Danio rerio: one gene and its partners. The protein of the gene in region 1 purifies or fractionates together with the protein of each later gene. This does not show direct contact. Links are inferred from orthologs where the notes say so. Each region holds a gene or a part of one and is shown in the gene's direction. Other genes may lie near its edges. The genes, in order: ss18, bicra, smarca4a, arid1b and smarca2.

Region 1 (4,161 bases):
AGATGCATTTTCCATGCAACAATAATCACAGGAATAAGCAATGTTCAAATTAAATCTGTCTAAAACATCTTTAGCTGGACATATACAGTGTACAGTTTTGAATGTTACTTCTTTTACCTTGTCAGTTATACAATAAATTTCATAAGAACGTCTGGAGATCTTACAGGTCTCATTCCACATTGAGCTTGTGATCTCCAAATACCATTGGCTGACGGAACACTAACACTATATATATAATCATTCTAATGATTATATATATATATATATATATATATATATATATATATATATATATATATATATATATATATATATATATATATTTATATATATATATATATATATATATTTATATATATATATATATATATATATATATATATATATATATATATATATATATATATATATATATATATATATATTTATATTTATATTTATACTTCCAGTTTAAGATTAAATCTAAAGTTGTGCTGCAAGCTATTATTACAAAATGTTGAGCTGCAAATTTGTTTTCCTCTTGTCAAATGCAGATTGCAGACCAAAAATGTTTACCTGCTGTGCGATACTGCCACCTGCTGATAGGTGTGACCCTGACAGTTGAGCTTTCTTGAAAATAAACGACTTTCTCTTACAATTGTAAATGCAAAAGGACCGGTCATTTAAATAACAGTACTGTGCACAATAGCAAATGGTGCACAAATAGTTTTCTTAACTGTGAATGTAAATAAAAATGCCACCTATATGTCAGGCTCTGCATCTGCAACATGCTTTTGAATTGGCTATTACATTTAGTCTTACAATTTAGATGCAGGTAAATACTAAAGAAGATATTAATTTAAATATTTAGGATGCTGAAGCAGCCATTTAAAGCGGATCATGTTGTAAAGCAGTGATTTTCATTCCGCTCGTCATAATATATTGCATAATTTATTGAATTTAAATTAAATGCAAGTACTTGCGCATATGAAAATGGCGTTTTGGTATTTCCTAAATTTGCTTCAATTTTTTGCGCATATGAATATAGCAAGTCAATTAAAGTATAACATATGTGCACACTCCACACACGACGGCGTTTTGCGCATTGCATGTGCAACGGAAACGCGCACGTACTCAGTGCACAAAATGCTGCTGTTTGGAATTCCCCCTTCTCTGACCCTTAGGGGCAAACCATTTTTAAGAAAAAGAGGTGTGCTTTGGATTTGTAGCTCTTATAAATTATATTAATCTGGACACTGCGCCCATTCACACTGTGTAATGATTAATAACAGAGTTTAAATATGTAAACAGACATTTTGCTACCAGCAGGTCTTCTTTATTTCTTGTCTTGAGTGTGATTTGGTGTATGCGAGGCTCCCCTGTGTGCTCCGTGCGCGTTGGTTGATTCTGATTTCGCAGCTCAGCGCGTTTGTTCTCGGTCAGTGTGTTTGTGTCCACCGTAGCGGTAATCTGAATTAACCAGAAACAAGCAATGTCTGTGGCTTTTGCACCGCACCGGCAGCGTGCCAAGGGCGATATAACGCCTGCCGGGATACAGAAGGTAACCTCATTTATTAGTTCGTCAAGCCGAGCGAAAACTGGAAACGGAAAATTTGCGTTAGGCTAGTTAGCTGCAACATCTCTCCCGCCAACACTAGCATAACATCACCAACAAGACGCTTATAAGGTGACATTTGTCGTCGTATTTAACAGCTCCTACATAACCGAATACCAGCGTAAAATGGGCTGATTTTGTGTTTTTTGGTCCGGGGTTTTTAAAGCTGTTGAAATCTGCTCGGTTCTGCTGTGTCTTTGTTAGCCGCTAACGTTACTACTCGGCTGTCTGATGAATCACAATGGAGGATTGTGTACAAGCATCACAACGTACATGTTCACTTGACAATAACACTGTCGTCGATTTATTTTTAAAGATATCGTCGATTTATATTTGATTTTGTGATGAAATTCATTTCGTTACGAACTAGCGTGTAACGTTATGCTAATATCTGATTTATTGATGAACAATGTCTGATTTGGTCATTTTCAGTCATGTCTTATTCGACAAGCCAAACGTTATTTTTGACACGTTAGATGTGTAAGTTAGCAGATTTTTCATTCCTGATGTCTTATAAAATTATTCAAGGTTAATGCATAAGTTTTAATTAGATTTGTTGATTTGTTTAGTGATTTCTGTTACTCAGGTCTGATGGAGATATACAGTAGAAGTCAGAATTATTAGCCCCCATTTTAATGTTTTTCTTCTTTAAATATTTCCTAAATGAAGTTCAACAGAGCAAGGAAATTTTTTACAGTTTGTCTGAAAATGTTTTTTCTTCTGGAAAAAGTCTTATTTGTTTTATTTCGGCTAGAATAAAAGCCATTTTTTAAACACCATATTAGGGGTAAAATTATTAACGTTAACCCCATTAAGCTATATTTTCTTTCGAAAGTCTAAAGAACAAACCATCATTATACAATAACTTATTACCCTAACCTGCCTAGTTACACTAATTAACCTCGTTAAGCCTTTAAATGTCACTTTAAGCTTTATAGAAGTGTCTTGAAAAATATCTAGTAAAATATTATTTACTGTCATCATGGCAAAGATAAAATAAATCTATTATTAGAAATAAGTTATTAAAACTAATATGTTTAAAAATGTGCTGAAAAAATCTCCGTTAAACAGAAATTGGGGAAAAAACAAACAAGCGGTCTAACAATTCAGGGGGGTTAATAATTCTGACTTCAACTATAGATATTTCGATATTGTCCTTATCCAAAGAAAGAAAAAAACATATATCGCCATGGCATACAATAATAAGTAGTATTAAACAGTTTATTAACCAGATTTTTGTTATGGCAAAGATATAACGATTATTCATGATTTTATTATAATAAAAGTGTTGTCATTAATGATTTTTTTTAAACAACTGTTTCGTAGCTTCTGTGGAAATTATTTATTTTGAATATTTAGCTATTTATAATATTCTCTGCTGCAGTTGTTTTGGTGTTTTTCTTTTGGTGAATTTGTTTCTTTAAATTAGCTTTCAATCAGGTCCTGGAGATTAACATCACTATACAATCACTCTGAAATATATTCAGTTTTTATAATAATATAAGACATGCTATAGAGGTAAAGTTGGTTTTATATTCGCACATTCGTTCATTTAGAAGTCTATATTGTTTACCATGTTACATTAAATATTCGATCGGAATTGGCACGCATGTATGACTTCTAAACAACATTAACACTATGTAATTCACTGTGAACAATGTTGTTCTTTGATAGTCATTTGCTGCTAATCTGATTTCCCTTTTTACAATTTTCAGAGAATACTTTTCTGAAATTATATAATCAGATCAAGGAGAATGTCTGAATATCCGAATATAAAACCAACTTTACCTCCATAGACATTCTTAGTCATTAATTCAAGTCAATATTTAACTAATTCCCTCTTTTATGATTATAATTCATTTGTATATGCATTTGTATAACGGCCCTGAGGAAAATAAGTCATATTGGATATAAATAAATGATTTAGAAAAATAAATACAATTATCATCCTTCAGTCTGCAATAGTATAAAGCATTGGTACCAAAAATAAATTGGCTAAAACTGACAAACAAGTCACACGAAAGCTTTGCATGGAAAAACATTTTGGTTTAAACCAATAAATGACCAAAAACATGTGTCTTATATTTAAATATATATATATATATTTTAAATAAATAAATTTATTGGTGAACAATATATCGTTTGAGCATCAATATCGCAATGTGTGCATCCCCAATAGTCACATTGCAGGATTCGATTATTTATTAAAGATGAAGATGAAAAGACAAAGATGTTGTTATTTTACCTTTGATAACTGTTCAATTTCTGTGCTTGACTCCACAGAAAGCCATAAAGCACTGTTTGTTAATTTATTTAATTAATTATATATGCTTGTAATTTATTATATTTATGCAGATGTACTTGATAATCCCAGTTGATCTAAATTAAGAAATGGGTTATTCAAATCATGTGGTAAAATTATATTTCTTATGGCAATGTATATCACAGCAAAACAAAATATCGCATTATCTGACTTTTCTAATATCGTGCAGCCCTTGCAAACTGAAATATATAGTGTACCTATATATCAATAACATTAGAGAGTCACTGTGTATGTTGCAGTTGCG
Region 2 (4,271 bases), on another chromosome or scaffold:
CCTTCGAAAATACTGTTAAACCGAAGAGAACAAAGCTAGATGTAATTTACTTTCATTTAAAATTATTATCCTAAATAAGAAATGATTTTATTTAAGCAAAATAATCTCTTTTTTATTAATTAGTTGTGTTTTTTGTTTTGGCACATTATGATAGTAATTGTAACAATAACTAATCATCTAAATAATCAAAGTGAATAATAAGGAAAAGTAGTGTTACAGTTCAAGCCCATTGTATGTATATTCTTTTGCAGTTTACTTGTTATATTATACATTGTAGTGTTGTATATTAAATTAATTAGCATGCATACTCAAAACTGTAGACAACAAAAATTGACAGTGTTAAACAATATTTTAATTGAAAAAAGGTGAAGACAAGAATTTGATGTCATTTGAATTACATTTTTTCCCCATTTTTGTTACGTGTACATTGTTATAATCCGAACAGACCGAAGAGAACATAGCTAGATGTCATGTATTTTTATTTAAAATAAATATTATAAATTAGAAATGATTTTATTCTAAGCTAAATAATAATTTTAAAACCTTTTTAAAATAAAATTAATTAGTTACTTTTTTATTTTGGCATATTTTGATAGGAATCGTAATCGACTAATCAATTACTATTATGAAGTGAATAATGAAAGGAAAAGTAGTGCTACAGTTCAAGCACATTATATAAATATCATTTTGCTGTGTACTTGATATATTAAACATTTGTATTATATTTTGTAGTTTCATATTAAATTATTCTAAGTATATACTGAAGAGTTCAAATGTAAACAACAAAACTTGACAGTATTTAACTATAATTTAATTGAAAAAAGAAAAAAAATATTCTGATGCCCTTTTCCTTAAATTTTTGTTAAAGTGTTGTTATAATCCAAATAAAAATACTGTTAAACTGAAGAGAACAAAGCTAGATGCCATGTATTTTAATTTAAAATCACTATTATGAACAAACGCTTTCATTTAAGCAAATATACCCTTTTTTAATAAATTAGTTACCTTTTTATTTTGGATCAGATTCGTAAAAGGTTGTCTAAGCAACACATAATCAATAAAATGTAAAAAAGTAAATAAATAATCAGACAACCACTGATATAATCCTTGGTCATTATATAAGCATTACTTTCTAATTTGCTATTTATACACACACACACACACACACACACACACACACACACACACACACACACTACTTGTTCTGTGTTGTAATGTGGTTCATATGAAGGTTGAACTCCATTCCTTCATACTCAGTGTATCTACTCTACAGCTCATATACCACTTTAGTGTAGCACAATGTTCAACATTTATATTAAAACAACGTATAACGATGCACGATGCATGATACTGTACGTGCAGCCTCGATAATCAAAACAACGCTGTGGTTTGTTAATTAATCAGGCAATCGCGCCGGGCCTCTGTTTCCTGCTTGTGAGCGCTGTGCTTGGGTCCTGACTCGGAGCCCGTGCAGGGCCGTACTGGAGACCCCGCGCCGCCTGCACCTCTATCGTCTCGGGTGAGTTTGATACAATGTAGCAATTTCTCTATAATTCTCTATAACTATTGCAACGCTGCAACACTCGCATGCAGAGCTCAGCGTTTCCCGCGACGTACAACCGGCCAGTTGCATAGGTCGCTCAATAGGTTGATTTTACAGCGAATTCCCAAGCATACCCCCCTGATCCAAGAGTATTCCAACATAAACTCATATTTAGCAGGGATAAAGATAGGCTACGCAATCGCGACTATTAGAGCCCAAACGCCAAATATTCATCAATTATGTCAAGTGGCTCCAGCGAATGCGATTGTATGGCCTAAATACTACGTGTTTACAGTCAGTTATTGTCAGATTTGTGCGTATTGCGTCTGTAAACGCACATATTACAGCTAGGAAGCTAGCTAGCAACAGCTAACCAAATCAGCTGCAGAACGAGCGTGAAAAGGCGAATTAAAGGCGCTCCGTGCGGGTAAATCTGTATATTTGTTGAAAATAAAAGCCTCTGCTTTTAAAGGAGTGCAAAGAGCTGTTAAAGCTTTGCGAATTGTGAAAAATAACCGCCGTGTCCTGCAGGTCCGGAGTGTCCATTCATGTCTGTGGTGCTCTTCTGATGTGTGATGCTTTCAAAATGACATAAATCAGATGTCTGACAGGAGAAGCTTTCGCAGATATTTGTCAATGATGGTCGGTGTGATCTACACTGATACTGTTTTCCCCCCTAACAAACATTAGAGGCGTCCCCGCCTACCTCATCCTCATTTTGTGGTTTTGATTTGTTTAGATCGAGACTGTGATCTTGAGCACTGCAACGACTCTCCGAAGTCTGACTAATTCTTGAAAATAGGCGGTTGTGTGTCTGCAAATCGAGATATTTGACACCCTGTGGTATTTTTCTGTGTTTGAGAGAGTGTGAGGTGATGCGCGCGCTTTTTCCCTCACTTTCTCTGACGCTACACGACTGCACGAAAGTTCAGCTGATGCTTTCAATGGATACGGAAATGTTCACTCGTGTTAATTTGTGTAGTTTCTCTTGGAAGACTCACTATTTCAATATAAGTTTGTTCAATCATCCGAATATGTTGTCTAAAAACAAAATTTTGGGCCTAAATAGGATACACCAAAATGGGTACATAATTGGCTACACCAATTAGTAATTATTAATTGTAAGTATGTTATCAAAAGTGTTGTTTTTTTCTGTTTATTTGCTTTATTATTATTATTGTTTATACACAATTATCAATGTTGAAAGACTTACTTGCTAGCATAGTCTGATTTAATAATGTCATCATTATTTTTTTTGTTCAACAATATTGATTATATTTATTTACTCTGAAAATTGTAGCATTCAAAACTGCCAGGTAATTATATTTTTTGTGTTTGCGAATTTATTCTGTTTGTCTAAATATTAATTTCCTCTGAGTTAATCAACCCACATTTCACTACAAAGTGTAATGTTTGGATGTTTTATTCTGAAAACTCACCTATGTTGGCGGGGCTAATGCTTATGTACTTTTTTTATATTGATGTTTTTTAACTGTAGTTGACATGGATGATGAAGATGGCAGGTGCTTGCTAGATGTAATTTGGTAAGTTCAATATGTTACCTCAAAAATGTCAAATAACTGTTTATCTACTTGTTAAGTGTGACATCGCGCAAAGCGGCTTCCAGGTCCAAGTGCTATATCAAACTGTTTGGGGAGACTTATCAAATGATAATAATAAATGTTTACTAAGCAATGTAATACTTTCGAAAATCATGACCGCAATATATATGTCCATGGCTAATCCGATGGCCAGAAAGTGATACATTTTTTTATAAATTGTTAAAATTTTGGTGTCTGTGATGCAGCAATCCCAGAGACTGATGTATACACTATGATTTTATATAAAATTCACTTTAATATGAGATAGGACTAAAAAGTGGCTATAAGCTAATATTTTCTCAATTCAAATGAGTAGCGGCTTGGACCTGGAAACAATATTGCAAACATCATCGATACGTCATGACTTAACAAGAGGATAACGTGTCATTAGCTTGTTTTGTTGCATTGTAGACCAAGCTAAATAACAACTTTCTTGTACAGTGACCCACAAGCACTCAACGATTTTCTTCATGGATCAGAAACACAAGTGAGTACTTCCAGTGGTGGGCACACTTTTATAATGTAACCCAGATACATCACAGAAAAACACAACACCCTCATCCACCAAGAGTTCCCTGATCCTTCTAATTCTTTCCGGGTTATTTTTACATTTCTTCCCCTAAAAGGGTTGTCAAGCTTATTGATCTTTTCTTTAGAACATAATTGCTCCTCTTAATTTCTATTTCAATCCTGATTTTTTCCCTCTTTGGTTAATTCACGTATATGACATACTAATCTAATTTTCCTGTCTTTTGACTCCTGTTTTCTTTCCTGTTTGCTTGGCTTTTTAACTTGGTTGTGCCTGCATTTTGTTCTGGTTGATTGGTGCACTGTCCTCACTTTTCTCTTCCCTTGCCTTTTCCTCTTTGTCTGCCTATTTGCCCCTTGTGCGTCTTCTCCCTGTCGCTTTCACACGCCTGTCTGTGTGCTGTGGTGATTTCTGCCTGTCCTATCCTGGGTATATCTGTCTGTAGCTGGACACTGATGACCTATTGGATGGCTCAGGTGACCCGTCCAGCTCGTTCTTCTCCAGCACTGGGGTGAGTAAAATCCCCCATTTGCGCCAACCTCCTGGCTCCATCCTTTTTTTCGTAGCATGTGCTCCTCAACCCCACCATCCAAATCAG
Region 3 (3,516 bases), on another chromosome or scaffold:
GGTTGAGAACTCTGGATGTTTCATTATGTAGTATTTTCTGATTTTTATTTAGATTTTAAACCTGAAAGGACAATTCTGACAATGTTTTAGGGTGTAAATCAACTCTGATTTATTCAATTATTGCATTAATAGAGTTATAATACGAACGCTTTTCATGAATTGGTTAATGAATGCAACAAAATATTTGGTCACACTTTATTTTGAGGGTCTGTTTGTTGAATTTAAGTTACATTGCATCTACATGCCAACTAATTCTCATCAAATAAGTACACTGTTAGGTTGGGGTTAGTGCAAGTTGACATGTACTTGCAAAGTTTCTGATAGTCAGTTAAATGTCTGTTGAAGGAGCAGTATCAGCAGATATTAAGCAGACAGTTTACTAATACTTAATTGGACCATCAAAATAAAGTGTTACCATATATGTGTGAATAAACATTTCAGTGTTAAATCCTTCTCTCTGCTGTACACAGGAGCGCATCAGGAGTCACAAGTACCGCAGTCTGAATGACCTAGAGAAGGACGTTATGCTGCTGTGTCAGAACGCTCAGACCTTCAACCTGGAGGGATCTTTGGTAATGTTCATCATACTCTTTAAGCCACAATCTTATTAAACACCCATCAAAAATACCAATTCGACCAAGTTTATTGTCTTTGTGCAAAAAAACTGATGTTTTTTGTGTAAAAAGATGAAAAATGTGTAAGTGTGTAACTGTCTTTCACACTGAAAAAGTTTGCTCTGGCCACCCTGGCGACAACGCTGTCAAAAATTTACAGATTAATATTTTTCTGATCCCATAACATAACCATTAATAGTTGTTTTGGAAGATTTAAAAAGATGTTTACCGCTCCCCCAGTGAGGGCTTAAAAATTTGCTACACTGATCTCGTATTTAGAGGGGCTATCACAGTATATCAGCCGATCAGTTATTCCCGCATAAAAAAATCTTGTTTTATATTATGAAAATGAACTTGTGTCATAGCTCACTGCTAGAAAATTGACTTGATTTCAACTCTCTTTGGCGGCCGCACTAGCGAAGATGTGCAACCGCTGGTTCCCATTGAAAATGAATGACTTCCGGCTACTTTTTTACGCTTTTTGTGTGCTTTCGGCTATTTTTCTGCTTTCGATGTGAATGCGCAGTAAAAAAAAAAAAAAAAAAAAGAAGTATTGTGTTAAGTATATCTGTTTTTGTACACTTTATTTTTTAGGTTTTCCACATTTTAAAATGTTTGTAACTTAATTTTTTTTTATAATAATTCCTTCATCAAAACACATTGTAAAAAATGCTGTGTTCAACACAATTACATGATGTTGTGTCAACAAAAATCGATTACTTAACCTAATAGAATTTACAAAAGTGGATTGAATATAAAACAATTAAGTTGTCTAAACTCAACTCGTTTTAAATAATTAGTTTGTCAATTTTTAAATGCATAAAACTTTAATTGACATTAATTTTCATCTTTAGTTGTTGTATTTAAGCTAAACATAATTGAATATGGCGCAATAGGTTATAATATAATGTTTTATATAAATGTTTTTTCCATCTACTGCATCAGTGTCTTTAAATTGGTACAAGCAACCTAAAATCATTAAATGAGTTGAGGGTTTGACATTTCAGATCTACGAGGACTCTATCGTGCTGCAGTCTGTGTTCACCAGCGTGCGGCAGAAGATCGAGAAAGAGGAGGAAGAGAGTGAGGGAGATGACAGCGAGGAGGAAGAGGATGATGTCGATGAAGGATCCGAGTCTGAATGTAAGTTGACAATAATGGTCTCCATTCACCAAATTGTTATGACTCATTTCAGTCATCAGCATTTAAAATTTAAATGGTATGAACATTTGAATTTATTTATGTATGTATCATATCATCTTTGCATCAAATTACAAAAAACAAATTACTGCTTGTGCGAGGCATTTGTAAAACAGTGTATGGGCAGGACAGTAAATGTTCTCTCCTGGTTGCCGTTATCGATCTCACACTATTTGTTTCCTATTTCTGAAAGTCTTGCCAAAACCATCTGGGAGTTTTGCTTTCATTTTTTTCAGCAAGTAGGATTGTAAAAAAAAGATTTGCTGTACTCTCGTATTCACTGCGCTCTACGTTTACTCCACTATAAAGACTTCCGCTACTGAGAAACCCAGACAAGTGAAAAGGGTCCATACTGCTACATGAATGAATCCAAATATTATCTGATTACAGTATAAAACACTTACAACTCTAATTTATATTAAGCCCAATATTAAAATATTTGTTTGTGTATATATTACAGCTCGTTCAGTGAAGGTGAAGATAAAGTTGAGTAGAAAGGACAAGGCGGAGAGAGGAAAAGGACGACGCCGAACCGGACGCAGCTCGCGGCCTAAACCTGTTGTTAGTGATGACGACAGTGAGGAAGACCAGGAAGAGGTACTTGAGAATAATCAATGATGATGATGATTATTATTACTGTTATTATTAATATCATTAATATTACTACTACTAATAATAATAATGATAATAAAGGAAAATATAATCTACATACAATACAAAAGTAAACATTAGTTTCCTTCTTTCTATTTTTGTTTTAACCCAAGCCCTACCCCAAGAGCTGAACAAGAATAATCAATGAAGAATAATTAAACTTAAAGGGAAAAAGTACACACACACACACACACGCACACACACACACACACACACACACACACACACACACACAAGTAACTAAATTTGCATTCAATTCAATGAAGAAAATGTTTTGACTCTTTAACTGCTCTAGCTCTTCAACCCCTTAACTCTTAGAGTTCACACCTGAAATTATGACGTATACGTATTAAATGCGGTTTGTTTGAAGTTTTTTATGAGGTTTCTTTTAAATTTGTTATAAGGCAGTGGTGCTCAACCCTGTTCCTAGAGATCGACCTTCCTGCAAAGTTCAGCTCCAACCCTGTTCAAACACACCTGAACCAGTTAATTAGGACCTGAACAGCACTTGATAATTATAGGCAGGTGTGTTTAATATAGGTCTCTAGGAACAGGGTTAGTTACGCCTGTTATAAGGTTTTGACCATTTAAAAAAAAGGTCTGTGTTCTAGGTAGTTAATAAGTTGCACTACTGTTATTAAAAGACATTTACACAGCTTCTTTTGTGAAAATAAATTGTTACTCTAATGTTTTTGAAACAAACTTATATTGTTAAAACACTGTTTAACATTTGTTCACTACTGTTTTTAACATGAGGACACTGTTACACTATAAAAAAAAAAAAAAGTTTTGCACATCTGGTGACACGGTGGCACATTTGCCTCATAGCAAGAAGGTCGCTGGTTCGACTCCTTGCCTAGGCCAGTTGTCATTTCAGTGTGGAGTTTGCATGTTCTCCCCTTGTTGGCGTGGGTTTTCTCCATGTGCTCCGGTTTACCCCACAGTCCAAAGACATGCGCTATAGGTGAAATGAATAAACTAAATTGGCTCATACACTCATAGTGTATGAGTGTCTGTGTAAATGAGTGTCTATGGGTGTTTCCCAGTAGTG
Region 4 (3,516 bases), on another chromosome or scaffold:
ATCAGTATTCACAGCCTTTGCGGTGAAGCTCTAAATTGAGCTCAGGTACATTCTGTCTCCACTGATCATTCTTGAGATGTTTCAGCAGCTTAATTGAGTTCACCTGTGGTAAATTCAGTTGACTGGACATGATTTGAAAAGGCATACACCTGTCTATATAAGGTCCCAGGGTTGACAGTGCATGTCAAAGCACAAACCAAGCATGAAGACAAAGGAATTGTCTGTAGACCTCTGAGACAGGACCGTCCGGGGAAATTCCTGCTGCTCTGAAAGTTCCAATGAGCACAGCGACCTCCATCATCTATAAGTGGAAGATGTTTGGAACCACCAGGACTCTTCCTATAGCTGGCCGGCCATCTAAGCTGAGTGATCGGAGGAGAAAGGCCTTAGTCAGGGAGGTGATCAATAACCCGATGGTCACTCTGTCTGAGCTCCAGCGTTCTTCTGTGGAGAGAGGAGAACCTTACAGAAGGACAACCATCTGTGCAGCAGTCCACCAATCAGGCCTGTATGGTAGAGTGGCCAGACAGAAGCCACTCAACGCCTGGAATTTGCCAAAAGGCATCTAAAGGACTCTCAGACCATAAGAAACAAAACTCTCTGGTCTGATGAGACTAATATTGAACTCTTGAATGCCAGGCGTTACGTTTGGAGAAAAGCAGGTATCGCTCATCACCAGGCTAATACCATTCCTACAGTGAAGCATGGTGGTGGCAGCATTATGCTGTGGGGATGTTTTTCAGCAGCAGGAACTGGAAGACTAATCAGGATAGAGGGAAAGATGAATGCAGCAAGGTACAGAGACATCCTGCATGAAAACCTGCTTTAGAGTGCTCTTGACCTCAGATTGGGACGACGGTTCATCTTCCAGCAGGACAATGGACCAAAGCACACCGCCAAAATACCAATGGAGTGGCTTCACAACAACTCAGTGAATGTCCTTAAGTGGCCCAACCAGAGCCCAGACCTAAATCCTATTGAACATCTCTGGAGAGATCTGAAAATGGCTGTACACCGTCGCTTTCCATCCAACCTGATAGAGCTTGAGAGGTACTGCGAAGAGGAATGGGCACAAATTCCCAAAGACAGGTGTGCCAAGCTTGTGGCATCATATTCAAAAAGACTTGAGGCTGTAATCGCTGCCAAAGGTGCATCAACAAAGTAGTGAGCAACGGCTGTGAATACTGATGTACATCTGATTTTTCAGCTTTTTTACTTGTAATAAATGTGCAACAATTTCAAAAACTCTTTTCTCACACTGTCATTATGGGGTATTGTATGTAGAATGTTAAAAAAATGAATTTAACCTATATTTTTATAAGGCTGTAGCATAAAAAATGTGGAAAAAGTGAAGCACCATCAATACTTTCCGGATGCACTGTACAGTACAACAAAAAATAGATATCATGACAGGCCTATTTGTGCGTACTCATGGCTAGTGAATGAGACCCAATATTTTTTACTTATCTAAAGAAATGCTTCTTGATTTAAGCATTTTTGATGATTTTTGGACTAAATACAAGACAATAACTAAAAGTAAGAAAAGTGTAGATTTAGTGGATTGACCCAAATATGAAGTAGTTCACCCCAAAACAAGGAAATGTACAGTCCTATTTAATCTTTGAGTCTTTCCAAATCTGTGTGCTCTTACTTTTATCTGTGGAACTTGAAAGGTGAATCTCGGCAACTGCTTTGTTGGCAACAACATTTTAATAATTAATAATTGGTGATGTTCGTAGTGGAAGCTGCGATTTGATAGTTGAAAACATGTAAAAGCCATGACATCTAACCTTAGTAGACATGTAGATTCTACTACTGTCTCATTTATGAGAAGACAGACTACAAACAATGCAGGAATCTGTTTCTTTCCCCATGTGTATTAATCCTTTAACTCTCTCTCTCTGCGGATTCTGCATGTGTTGCTTGGCAGCTGAAAGAAAGAAGAAATGAAAATAAGTGTACTAACAACTTACCATTGAACCCTTTACATTTTGTTTGTGTTTTTGTTCTTATGTGTTTTTTTCGTCCATAGGCCAGCCGGGTATCAAGGTGGCTCCCACATGCTTGGAATGGGTCCCGGAGGGCCTTACAGCCTTCCACCGAGCAATAGCTCTGCCAGGATGACCCCTCAAGGTCCCTCCTACAACACAATGCCCACAGGTAGGATTTAAAATACAATATTTAAAAGGGTCCTATTATACCTTTTTTATATGTAATTTATTTTTTGTGTAATGTTGCTTTTAAAGCATACATAAAAAACAAAAAAACAGTGTATAGTCGATGTAGTTTCTCGAACTCTGTCGGAAATCTGTAGTCTGAACCACATTAGTTAAAATGCAAAGCTTGTGGAGTAACAACTTCTTTAGATAAAGTAATTAAATCTTTATATACTAAAGTACTAAATCTTGATATGATTGTTTTATATATATATATATATATATATATATATATATATATATATATATATATATATATATATATATATATTTTTTTTTTTTATATTTTTTTTTTATTATTTTTAATTCAATCTTAGTTTATAACTGCATCTGCAAATGCTGTGTTCTTGACTTATAACCACTTTTATAATGTGCTTAATAATTGTACTTTCATAATTTGTGACTGGTTGATTTTTCATTACTGCATTATTTTTACAAACCATTTGTATTTACGAGTAGTTGGAGGTTTTTAAGAGCATTCAGAATGAGTTAGTAAATGATTAATGAACTATTGAAATTGATGTTTATATATCTTATTATTCAGGCACATACTAATGGACACTATGTATGTTAATAAATGCTTTACTTCTTGCAGTTTTGTGACCTATAATCTGATAATGGCAAATGTCTGATTTTACCAGTGAATAAAATTGTCTAATATGACAGATTGCATGCCTATATCTCAAACATAATAATTCAACATCAGAGTTATTATGAGTAGAATAGAATTATTTATAGAAGTCAGTAGACCCACACATAATATTATTATCGATGTTGTGCCATATGTTTGTCTTTACCTTTATTTTACATCTACAGAATCGTGAGAAAATCGTGATCTTTATTTTAAGCAAAAAAATCGCTATTCTCATTTTAGCCAGAATCGTGCAGCTCTAACGTACGCCAGATTTCACGCTCATGTTTGGATTTACTAACGATGAAATGAACGTGAGAATGTGCGTTGGTCCACGCCAACTTCATGGAGAATCAGAACAGAATCGCCAAACTATGTTTGTAATGATGAAATTTGCAATCTTAGTTGGCTAATATTGGTAATGCACCCCTGATTGAGTAAAATACCATAAAGTAATGACATTATAACGGTATTATTTAAATCTAAAATTTAATTCAGAAAGTGTGAGATTATAGATTTGGCAGCATTTATTGAGGAAAAAAAGTGCTTAATGCGGTTCAGCTTGAGATCAGTTACAGTATACAGTGTCTTTGTTTGGAGGCTGTTGATGAGATGTTGTGCACATCTCTGGATGGTGCAGGACTAAGGGTCTGAATCTCCTGTAGGGCC
Region 5 (4,177 bases), on another chromosome or scaffold:
TATTTTATTTTATTATATTATAATTGGCTATAATATATTATTTTGTGTTTTATTATATTATATTATATTATATTATATTAGGCTATATTATATTATTTTATTACATTATACTATATTATATTTTATCTTAATACATTTTAAATTATTTAAAAAAACTTCTTGCTGATAAAATGTGTAAAATATTGCTTGACAGATTGTAGCAAAGTATACACATTTAAAATAATAATAATGAAATATTAAATAATTAAATAATGAAGTATTCCTAGTATTTGAAGCCCCATTGGGTTCATTTAACAGTCCGTGTATACAGTTCATATGGCATCAAATTAAATTATCCTTGGTCTAAAAAGGCTGTATATGTAAAAAATTTTAAAAACTGTTTATTCTTTAAATAATGATATAAAATATGTCATATTATTATAACGGTTACTTTATTTATTATTAATTTATTGCTCAGAAATAATTAAATAATTCACATTAAATGGAAGTATTACATTACTACACTTATTTATTATTTTTTTTGCTTGAAAATCGTCTTCGACTCACATTAAATCAAACAAAAATCATTTAAATATACAACTTAACAACATGAATAAAAAACAAGGAGTTTTTCTTCTTCCTGTAGTTTTTCATCTTGTTCCCCAGAATACATGATAATCATACAAATGATCATTTAAATATTTTACTAAGGAGGCTTTTAAAGTTTAAAATTGTTAGGGTTGGGTGGTCTTTAAAGATTTGGACCAAGCTGGTAGCATTCCCCCTATGACTAAACCAATCAGAAGCCGTGAAGTTATTATTTCTTATGGGAGTCAAACTTCGGCTCAAACGAGCAATTTAATTGTAAAAAATTAAATGTATATTATACATTAAATATTTAATTTAACATTTAAATTATAATTAATGTAAATATACAATGTAATACATCACACTTGGTTTTACATCGAAAACTAAAAGCATTTTCCTCTTTGTAGCAAACAGTAACATGCTGCTTACACAACACATGCATTTGCTATGGATGTAATTTTCCCAATAATATCGAAACATAAAACAAAGCGTCTTTCTAAAAGATACGCGCGGACACAAAAAAGTATGAATAAAGCCCATTCTGTGCGTTGTGTGTGAACGCGAGAGCATATAGAAGAGTTTGTCCCTAAACGCCCTGGCGGACAGACGAAAGTTCCAGCACGTTCGTCGTTGTGTGAAGTGAAAGTTATGTATCCGCCAGCCTCCACCCCCAAATATATCACTAAATGATAGACGTGTTCTTCAGCCAATCACACGACAGAGGCGACTGCATTTCCTGCTCTCTCAGCCAATCAGAAATAAGAAAACACTAAAAAACGCGGACTTCAACTTGTCAGCAAAACAGAAGGGGGAGGGGATCAACATATGGCAGTCATATTTCTGAAGCTGAAATAATGTGCTAGACCTTTTATTGTGTTGTTTACCTCGCAGAAGGTAATTAGGTTTAAATACTCTTTGCTTGGACATTTATACTAATGTATATATGTCAGCGGGCAGCATTTTGGGCATTTTACTGATAAAATGTGGTAAGCTAGCATGCTAACATAACTGTACAGACGGTTAGCGAGCTGTTATATCAGACGGGGGGCTAAATAAGCTTGCTTGCTATTAACTTTGACAGCATAAAAGCAGGCGAGTAAATGACTCGTCTATGAATGCAAGAAAAATACCTTCGTAATCCAACGAAACAGAAAAGCTGCTGTGAATGTGCGTTGGTGGCGCGCTGTGATGGGAAGGTCCCAGAAAGTTTGAGATTTCAGGAAACTGCAATGGCGTGAGGGGAGACAGTCATGACAGCAGGTCGAGGAAGCCATGATCCGATCACAGCAACTCTCTCCAAATAACACCCCGCTATCACTGCATTGCTTCTTTTTAAAATAGGCCTTTTGCGTGTGATATCACCGTTAACAGCGACTCTTCCTAATTAGGCTCTATTTAAAGTTTTAGTCATCATGCTCTGAACACTAAACATAGGCCTGCACGAATGCATTTGTACATTCAACAGCAGAATAACGTTAGTTGTTTATTCAGGTCTTTAGCCTGGGCTGATCTGCGTGAATGAACTCTTGTTGGTTCATAGAGACGCGAATAATTACTGTAATTTTAAATAAGGTCTGTAATTAAATGTTAGAGGGCATTTTCTTGATAAAAGTGTGTTATTATCTTACCCTCTGCAATGTTTTACTCTTTACTGTCATACTGGTGGCTTGTGATTCTGTATTTTCATTCCAGAAGTGCCGCTTGAGGGGCGTGTCTGAGCACAGCGCGGGTTATAGTTATGCAAATAACCCTGTCAAAGTTTTGGTCTACCGTGTTGTCTTTTACTTCATAGTAGAAACAACAATAAAGCAGTGCTAGGAAACAATGCAACTTATTAAGTCAAAATCACTCAATTTAATGTATGTTTCCTTTATCTGAGTGGGTGAGGTCATAATAGGCTAATAATAATAATAGTAATAATAATAATTACTATAGTAATGATGATGATGCACTCACATGGGAGTCAAATGTTTATCTAATAATTATTAATGCTAATTTATATATAAGATAGTTTTACAGAGCAAATTAATTGCTTGTTTTTTTCAGCAAGCAACATGCTTAAGAAACTTATGCAAAGTAATATGAAACAATGCAATGTTAGGAGTAAAATATTTAACAATAGCTTAAAATAATTGATAATTGTTCTAAATTATTTGAAGCAGGGGGAAATTTGTTTTTAAAAAAAATCTGGACCCTGAACTATCAAAAATGTATTGCACACATTTCAGTATTATGACAGAACTTGGTTTCAGGTTATTTATATATAATGATGCAAGAAGTCACAGCAGAGTGTAATGCAGTTTCTTCTGGCGTGTTGCTTTTTATTTTAAAAGAGAACAATGCATATTTCTATGTATTAAAACAAGTTATACATGTCGGATTATTTCTGAATAGGTAATATTTATTAATAATAAATATAATCTTAAATGCATTTTAGTTTATTAATGTTTGTGCTCCTATAACTTGCATTTATATGAAGTTTTATGATCAATTTACAGTGAACCTTTTCATAAGATGCATTTGGCTTGAAAATGCTGTCATTTGGGGTGCCAAGCAATGTAGTGCAGGCATGACAAAAACCCAATAGACCCATCTTTTTTCTTCTTCTTCATATTTTCTTATTTCTTCATATTGTCAGTTCATGGGTAAAATAAAGTTTGTGGCAATTTTAATCTGATGATACTGTAACTTCTGATGTTTACCTAATACCTTATAACCACAGACGTAATTTTACTCAAATATTGAAGAATACGGTAGGAAAGGCTTCATTTATATTATCTTTAAACTTTTGTCAATTCCTCTCACAGCTTCTCAGCTGATAGATGGCCACCCCCAATGAGCCACCTGTTGGGATGTCCCATGCTGGTCCCTCACCGGGTGCTGGCCTGTCTCCGGGCCCCATCCTAGGACCGAGCCCTGGACCTGGTCCTTCTCCTGGCTCTGTACACAGCATGATGGGCCCCAGTCCAGGACCTCCGAGTGTCCCACATACAATGCAGGGCCAAGGAGCAGGAGAATACTCACAAGAAATGCACCCAATGCATAAGGTAGAAGAAAATTCAAAACGATTCAACCAGTTGCTTCTCTAAATGATTCGCCTTTTTGAAGCATTCAAAACAGAAATGATTGAGCGTATGCCTAATTATTGAACATTTTGTATTGAACTGAAACTAATATGAATCTGTCTGCCTGTCGTTAAATAAGAAAGCTGCCAAAACAACTGAACTGCTGAAAAATAATATTATCATTATAAGCATTACTTTTAAATGATCAGATCTTTTTTGTATACCTAACACTCTTAATAATTTACTTATGGTTTGAGATGTATATTGTTTTATTTCTTTTGTTTTATTTTTTATTTTTTATATTAAATATTAGTTTTTCTTTGATGTATTGATTTTATTTCTTATCCTTTATGACATTTATGTAACTAGCTGTACAATGAATATGTATCATTTGTTTTCAGGTCACACAATATTAGTACAAATTAATGTTTTCTGTATCCTGTTATTAATATTAATAATAAAAAACTAAAATAAATATAAAAAGCATTGAAAACAGCGCATGTTAGCGGCACCTAGTGGTCAAAACTATGTAAATGCAACAAAAA

Evidence for each region.
Region 2: the proteins of ss18 (region 1) and bicra purify together in Homo sapiens (affinity purification with mass spectrometry; 3 studies listed by BioGRID and IntAct, counting the BioPlex papers as one, with this or other methods). This does not show direct contact. The link is inferred for Danio rerio from reciprocal best matches to the Homo sapiens genes SS18 and BICRA.
Region 3: the proteins of ss18 (region 1) and smarca4a purify together in Homo sapiens (affinity purification with mass spectrometry; 8 studies listed by BioGRID and IntAct, counting the BioPlex papers as one, with this or other methods). This does not show direct contact. The link is inferred for Danio rerio from reciprocal best matches to the Homo sapiens genes SS18 and SMARCA4.
Region 4: the proteins of ss18 (region 1) and arid1b purify together in Homo sapiens (affinity purification with mass spectrometry; 4 studies listed by BioGRID and IntAct, counting the BioPlex papers as one, with this or other methods). This does not show direct contact. The link is inferred for Danio rerio from reciprocal best matches to the Homo sapiens genes SS18 and ARID1B.
Region 5: the proteins of ss18 (region 1) and smarca2 purify together in Homo sapiens (affinity purification with mass spectrometry; 6 studies listed by BioGRID and IntAct, counting the BioPlex papers as one, with this or other methods). This does not show direct contact. The link is inferred for Danio rerio from reciprocal best matches to the Homo sapiens genes SS18 and SMARCA2.

Annotation. Positions count from the first base shown.
Region 1 is NC_133177.1:1,537,954-1,542,114, reverse strand, and holds the start of ss18 (protein SSXT), read left to right. Parts: upstream 1-1,345; 5' UTR 1,346-1,471; coding exon 1,472-1,540; intron 1,541-4,161. UniProt on the Homo sapiens protein: Appears to function synergistically with RBM14 as a transcriptional coactivator. Isoform 1 and isoform 2 function in nuclear receptor coactivation. Isoform 1 and isoform 2 function in general transcriptional coactivation.
Region 2 is NC_133193.1:47,589,655-47,593,925, forward strand, and holds the start of bicra (BRD4-interacting chromatin-remodeling complex-associated protein), read left to right. Parts: upstream 1-1,461; 5' UTR 1,462-1,519; intron 1,520-3,041; 5' UTR 3,042-3,046; coding exon 3,047-3,087; intron 3,088-3,585; coding exon 3,586-3,631; intron 3,632-4,118; coding exon 4,119-4,184; intron 4,185-4,271. UniProt on the Homo sapiens protein: Component of SWI/SNF chromatin remodeling subcomplex GBAF that carries out key enzymatic activities, changing chromatin structure by altering DNA-histone contacts within a nucleosome in an ATP-dependent manner.
Region 3 is NC_133178.1:18,061,075-18,064,590, forward strand, and holds part of smarca4a (SWI/SNF related BAF chromatin remodeling complex subunit ATPase 4a), read left to right. Parts: intron 1-470; coding exon 471-572; intron 573-1,621; coding exon 1,622-1,757; intron 1,758-2,274; coding exon 2,275-2,411; intron 2,412-3,516. UniProt on the Homo sapiens protein: ATPase involved in transcriptional activation and repression of select genes by chromatin remodeling (alteration of DNA-nucleosome topology).
Region 4 is NC_133195.1:5,081,279-5,084,794, reverse strand, and holds part of arid1b (AT-rich interactive domain-containing protein 1B), read left to right. Parts: intron 1-2,032; coding exon 2,033-2,160; intron 2,161-3,512; coding exon 3,513-3,516. UniProt on the Homo sapiens protein: Involved in transcriptional activation and repression of select genes by chromatin remodeling (alteration of DNA-nucleosome topology).
Region 5 is NC_133180.1:46,020,021-46,024,197, forward strand, and holds the start of smarca2 (probable global transcription activator SNF2L2), read left to right. Parts: upstream 1-1,370; 5' UTR 1,371-1,553; intron 1,554-1,697; exon of another isoform or gene 1,698-1,777; intron 1,778-3,374; 5' UTR 3,375-3,389; coding exon 3,390-3,614; intron 3,615-4,177. UniProt on the Homo sapiens protein: ATPase involved in transcriptional activation and repression of select genes by chromatin remodeling (alteration of DNA-nucleosome topology).